2 linked regions of the Tribolium castaneum genome follow. The protein of the gene in region 1 interacts with the protein of each later gene in a pairwise test. Links are inferred from orthologs where the notes say so. Each region holds a gene or a part of one and is shown on either strand. Other genes may lie near its edges.

What was found. The genes of interacting proteins can lie anywhere in the genome.
Region 2: the proteins of yellow-g (region 1) and uncharacterized protein LOC103312874 interact in a two-hybrid assay, tested with the Drosophila melanogaster proteins (2 studies listed by BioGRID). The link is inferred for Tribolium castaneum from reciprocal best matches to the Drosophila melanogaster genes yellow-g and CG8813.

The regions. Positions count from the first base shown.
Region 1 is NC_087399.1:8,621,084-8,624,140, forward strand, and holds yellow-g (yellow-g precursor), read right to left. Parts: upstream 1,677-3,057; 5' UTR 1,659-1,676; coding exon 540-1,658; 3' UTR 514-539; downstream 1-513.
Region 2 is NC_087402.1:9,800,940-9,804,755, reverse strand, and holds uncharacterized protein LOC103312874, read right to left. Parts: upstream 2,409-3,816; 5' UTR 2,284-2,408; intron 2,237-2,283; 5' UTR 2,110-2,236; intron 2,062-2,109; 5' UTR 1,935-2,061; intron 1,890-1,934; 5' UTR 1,728-1,889; intron 1,673-1,727; 5' UTR 1,504-1,672; coding exon 1,430-1,503; intron 1,387-1,429; coding exon 1,040-1,386; intron 995-1,039; coding exon 776-994; intron 731-775; coding exon 600-730; 3' UTR 502-599; downstream 1-501. Other genes in the region: uncharacterized protein LOC103312842, read right to left, coding at 316-395.

The sequences.
Region 1 (3,057 bases):
TAATAAAAGTTTAAAAATGACGTAGACTATTTCAAGCAAATCTACTTTTTTGAAAATGTCTATTCAAACCTTTGGATAACATAACATTTTACGAATGTTTGAAAAATTAACAAAATATAAAAAGAATGGCATTTTTTATGACCCTGTGTGCGTACCTAAAAGTAGTAAAACTTTACCAAAACTTAATTAACGTCGAAAAACTTTAAACAATCTTATTAATTTTCATGTCATCAGTGATTATTATAACTCGATTGTTCTTGCCACTCTTGGATACTTGGATTCCGTTTCAGTGTTATTGGCAAATAACTACTCCGAACACGGAGATCAAGCAAAAATAAAAAAAATAAAACAAAATTTCAAAAGCAAATCCGAACTAAAAAATTTGGGAAAATTTTGGGAGAAATTGAAGGATTTTGCAGCAACGGTAATATCGTACGTGCATACGCACTTCCGTTGCCTCGAGCTCGGAAAGTAAAAATAAAACTCAATTTAATCATTCAACGATTTAATAACCAATCACAGCAAATTTTTCAACAACTTCAATCGCACGTTTTGATAAGCGGGTGCACAGCCATGCTCGCCCCCAAACAGCCCACAGTATTGCAAATATAATCATGGAAATTGCTCTCAATAGCCCACATAAGCCTCTTATACCCTGGCACCACCTGAGTCGACAACCGACATTCCCCACCCTTTTGCACCAAGAGGAAATTCTCCGGCTTGAAGGCAGTATCCGTGTTCCAAATGTAAATATCCGACTCTCCCTTGTACCTGAAGAAGATCGCGGCGCCGTTATCAGTCCCCAAAAGCACGATCCTGGTGCCGGGAGGCTTCGCCCCAACGTCGACAATCGCCCCATTAGCCTGCCCGCTCTGCAAGTAGCAAACCTTGATACTGAAAAGTCTGGGCGAGGACAAGTAGGTGAAGTAGAGCACGTTCCCGCAGGATTTCCGGGCGAGGGCAATGTAGAGCACGTCTTTGTTACCACCGGCACTTGCCGCAGCCGGTAACACCACCCTGTAGCCCTTCCCGCCGAAAACATCGTAAACCAGGATACCGCCAGCACCAGCATCGCTAGCGTAAACCCAAGCCTTGCCGTCCTTGGAGTAGTCAACAATCATGTACTGGAAGCGACTTTGTGGGGTCATGAAGGGCGAAAGGTCCACGGTTTTGATCACTTGGCCGGTGGCAGCGTTGATCCCGACGATCTTGGGAGGGCATCTCCTCACCGGTTGCTCCAAAGTGTTGCAAATGCCCAAATCCAGAGCCCAGAGGATGTCCAGGGGGTCCAGGAAGATGTCCACCACGTTCTGCAAGGCGTCACAGTTACCCTCCTCCTGGATGGCCCAGCATGGGAAGGGCTGGAGGGTCGCATGGCACCCACGCTGCTTCAGGTTGAACTTAGCAAGGGTGAAAGGGACGCCGTGCTTGAACCGAGGAAGGGCCACAATTGCGTCTTCTTTGAAGATCTGCATTCGGGTCCCGATCACGTTCTTCGGGACGTAACGTCCGGTCTGGAGATAGATGTTCTTGGTGGCCTCGCATGGGAACGCCAAGTTGGTGCCACTGAGCTTGTAGCTCAAGTCCGGGATCAGGTTCTTGTTGCAGTCGCAGTGGACCTCGGCAAAAACCGCCAAAAGCACCAGAATTTGCCACATTTCTTACTTGGACTTGTTGTTGGACGAGAAGATGAGTGAATAACGTCTGAAGCGGCTCCCGTGCTTTATACCCGAGTGTTTGTTTTGGTTTTGGTCATGTCGGTGTGTTTGTTTAGTTCGGCCATGATTGCAAAATTGTTGATTCAGGTTTGAGTCAACGACCTCACCTGTGGCACGTCTGGCTTGACCTCAGGTTGGATAAAAGCCGCCAAAAGTTAAGGCCCTCCATCATTCGCTCCAATCAATCAATCGATCAAGCATGCTTCGACAAGTCGCCATTTTGTGCACTCTAATCGCCGCCATTTCGGCAAGTTGCGACAAGGAGATCGTACGTCCTGTCGAATGGACCGGCGGCAACTTCGAGTGGCCGAACGGCGCCACCAAGTCCATCTACCGCTCTTCGGGCCGCTTCATCCAGAAGAACACCATTGCGACCCGCGCCCAGATCTACAAAGACGACGTCATCGTGGCCCTGCCCCGCTACAAGCCCGGAGTTCCCGCCACTTTGGCCAAACTCTCCCTGAAGCACAAAGGCTGCGAGGCGACTCTGACGCCCTTCCCATGCTGGTCCACCCAGGAGGAGGGCAACTGCAACGCGCTCCAATCAGTCGTTGACATTTTCGCCGACGCCAATGAGGTCCTCTGGGTGTTGGACGTGGGTGTGGTCAACACTCTCGAGACGCCAATCAGGCGCTGTCCCCCTAAAGTCGTCGCGATCTCTCTGCGAACCGGAAAGGTCGTCAAGACGCTGGACTTGTCGGGATTGGTGGCCCAGGCCTCCCGCTTGCAATACATCGCCGTGGAATACGCCCCCGATGGACGCCCCTATGCTTACGTCAGCGACGCGGCGACTAGATCCATTCTAGTGTTTGATGTTGCTGGAAACAGGGGCTACAGGGTGGTGCTCCCGAAGGCTGTGGTCGGGAATGGCAAACGCGACGTTCTCTACATTGCCCTGATCCAGAAAGGGTGTGGGAACAACTTCATCATCTTCTCCTACCTCTCATCACCTAAAGTTTTCTCAATCCGGACTGATTATCTCAGAGCTGGATGCACAGCGGGTAAAATCACGGACAGTGGGTCTAAAGACGGCAAAATCATTATCTTGGGTACTGATCTTGGTACCGCTGTGTTCTTCCGGTACGAAGGCAAACCGGAAGTGTACCGCTGGGACGCCAACCTCCCCCTTGCCCCAGGTCTCCCGGTCCTAGTCTACAAATCGAAAAAATGTTACTTGTCCACGCACGCAATCCCTGATCTCAAACGCGAAAGGATGAGGATCCTTGAGAGCAATTTCCCTGATTTTATCCAAAATACGGTAGGCTGTGGGGCGTCACAAAGGGTGACTCTGATGGGAGGGTGTGTTAACCCCAAGAACCCATTGCCCGTGCATACGTAA
Region 2 (3,816 bases), on another chromosome or scaffold:
TTCTCTGTTTAGTTTGCTAATTGGATTTTCACCATTTTTATCATTAAAGTTTGTAAACTGAGACTTCACTGCTGATTTTTTATCAAAGTAACTGAAAATTTTTGGATTTGACCAAATTGATCAGAAATACCAAGTATTTCTATTCTCCCAAAGGTATTGACGAAATTACTTAACATATTGTGTTGCAATTTTCTTAAGTGGTTCACAAATCTGTTTCGAGAAGCCCAACATATTGAACAAATTCACAACTGCTAGTGAATTGACCTTTTGTTCTTCATTGAAGATACTCAACTGGCATAATAGTCACAAACTTACTTGGCCACCGAAGGCACGAAACTGGGCCATTTGTAGTCTTTCCGGTAGTTGGTCAAGAAAGTTTCCTTGTCCACGGTCATTTCGTATCACTGCAAATTTGGTTTCTTGGCCTTACTATTGTTTCTGATACACAAGCATGCTAAAAGACGACAATTTGGGACGGAGGAGACCGAACAAGTACTTTACAAATAAATAACACACGAAATTTTGTGACAATCTTGTCAAAATCGTAACGAAATCCATTTTCCGAGTGGCAGGGCAAATAAAAATTGTTTGGACGACGGCTAGATTATTTTTTTGGGGAGAGAGAAGTGGATTTTGTCACGCATTATCATCTGGCCGAGACGGGATATGGCGTCTTGGTACTCCGTCGCGCCGGCTGTCATTGAACCCAGAGGCCCTCGACAGCTTCCAGCTGATTCAAATTCATTATTTTGGGAAAATCAATCGAAATAAGTACCGCAGTAGGAGCTCATGGCGTTGTCGTCCCCGCCTCTTGACCGGCCTTCGCTCTTACCGCCCCCAACCCGGTTACTGATAACCGCAGGACGGTAGGCGATGGACCTCTGGTTGGGCCTGCAAGGGTCGCCAGGAAGTCGCACAGGGGCAGGACATGGGGCGATTCCAGACACTCCAGCCGCTCGCAACAGCTCGTCGTAAGGAGCGTCAGGATACTCCTCTAAAATAACTTATTTTTTGCGCCAAAACTCGGAAAAATAATTACGTAATTTGCAATAATCGACTTGGTAGGTGGTCCTTAGCCGATCGCGATTGATACGCGAGATCAGATCATCAGGTGGTGCATTCCTCAAACACTCGTAAATGTAGGGGAACTTGTCTTTCAGTTTTTGCAAGTAGACGTTAGGTTGGTTGAAGCGACTGACTTGTGATTCGGGGCTTGCGCCCACTTTCACAGGGTACACTTTGGGGTCTAGAAGGGGGCCCATGGGGCCTAGACGACTCCATGCGGCTTCGGATTGGTCGAGCCCGACTTGTTTAGTTTTGTCGATTTTTGGACAGTGGCACTCGCACGTGAGGTGGTCGCCGGCTTCAGGTAACGCAGGAGTTGTCCTAAATCATGGAATAATTTTTTTTCACGGAAAAATTGCGTTACTTTAGTCCGTAAGCGCGCACGTAAGGCCATATGTAGTCCTTTCTGTATGTGGTTTGAAATTGATCGAGAACCATTGCGAATTTTGAACGAAAAATTTTATTGAACTGAAATTTTGACACAATTTTGACAATCAGGTTTCGGGGGGAGGTTTGCGTCCTTGGATGCTTTTTTCTAAAATAAATTCGCCAAATGTGCCAATGTGGTCCGTGTATTCGCTGATGTAGTGACTGCAGGCGAGGTTTCCTAAAGTCGAGGAATGTTACCATCATCACAAATTTGTATTTTTTCACCAAATTACCATGCGTGTGTAAAGTATTTGACGGTATGATAATGAGCGGAGGTCTCAAAGCCTTTGTCTGATCTCTGAAATAAATTCCATAAGTTGTTAACGGTATTTCCGCATCATCTGCCAAAGTGAATTTTCTGTTGCGTTTATCCAAGTTGAATTGAGTATCTTTTTCTAAAAAAAGCAGTCAGTTTTGTCTTCAGTGAGCGTTTCTCGCACCAATGTCACAATAGCTCATCTGGTATTCGGTAACGGCCCCTTTTGTGACTTTATTTTTCCTTATGGCATCTTTATCTAACGGTTCTTGAAAGTGAATCCTTGCAATCTCTTTGTATTTTTGTTTGAACTAGAATTTTGTTATTGTCAATAAAATAATTGGAAGATTGAAAGGAACTTTTTCCAAGTATTCGTCGCCGTTTTCGTTCGGTGGTTTTAGATCTGTTTTATCCAAAATTAAAAACTCCTTAAATCCTTCACTGATGGGGTCCTCAAACTCTTGATTTTTTGCCTCCGCCCGTAGACTTGAACAAAATTATAAAAAGCGAGAAGACTACAGGTGGGATAATACTGTTTTATCGGCTTTTTCACATAATCCTTCCTGTATGTCGTCAAAAAAGTATATTTATTAATTTGATCTGAATCCATTTCACATTCTCAAGTATGACAGCGAAATTTTGAAATTTGCTAGTTACTTTCGTCTTGTCCGTTGTTGCCAACATAGTGAATTTTTCCCATTTTTTGACGATTAATTAAAGAACTTTTAGACCCATTTAAAATTATTTAAAAACTTGGTTACTTGGTTTAATATCATGTAAAGGCTTTATAAAGAATATTATTCCAAACATTTTGTAGATAAATTTATAATGAAAGCAGAATACTGCTGTGAGAGGAAATAATGCTGTCTTAGGTTAGTCAACTTTGTTTTTGAAATCATAAGTTTTGTATACAGAAACACTGCTAAAGAATAAAAATTCTAGATATAACTAGAATTGAGTATAAAAAAGAGTAGAGTAAAATCTAGAACAATAGTTTAAAAAATATTTTTTCTACTTTGTAGGCCATCACTACATCACAATATGCGTTTTGTATCGTAATAATATAGTATAATATGATCCTAGTTTTATAAGGTATTTTGACTAAGACCGTCATGATTTAGCCAGAACAGGTTTAGGTTTTTACAGTTGTGCCCTGTTTTATGTTCGTGTCCAGATTTGTCTTATTTTTTATAACCCAAATGTCCTGCTCTAAGATTTTTAAGTTACTACAAAAACACCTATAATCCACCTATAATTAGGATTTCTGATTTATCGACTTTTTTTTCTCGAATAAAAATTCCAAAAAAATTTCGAATTTTCGAAAAATTTCTAAAACCTAAAAAAACATGTTAATTAAATGAAAAAAACCTTTCATTTTCCGTCGATTTCTCGACAGTTTTTTGGTTTATAAAATAATAAAACCTATACCTATAGTCCACATAATATTTCCACAAAAAAATCTAGAGAAGACTTTATAAACCAATGTAAAGAATGTAGGTATAATTGTATATTCAAAATATACTTAACATAATCCAAAAAGAAGTGAATCAACGAAAAAGATTATTTTGAAGAATTTAGAAGAAGTGTTAGTAAAATTCTCTAAAAGAGAATTTGGAGAAAATTTAGAAGTATTTTTTTAATTTTTAGTAGACGTTAAAAATAATTGTAAAAAAGCATCTGGAGAAGAATTTTGGACCATTATACCTCTATTCTTATATGTATGTGCAGTCTGTCTGTTTTAGTAAGGAATAAATTCTCTATTTAGACACAAGGCATTGACACCTGTAGGTACGTATGTCCTGAGGAACCTTAGGCATTCGATAATAACGCGTTCAAAGTGTAGAAGTGAAAAAACATAAAAATTTTAACGAAATTTTTAGATAAAAAAACTATAAATAAACATAATTTGTCGCAGTTGAGATGAGCTGCCGCCAATTTTTTCACTAAAACTTTGACTTAGGAAGCATTAAGAAAGGCAGTTTAAAAAACAAGGTTTATTTATTGACTGCTTTCAGATTTAAACCAACCATTCACATTACTCCATTAAATTATTGAATGAGTCCAAA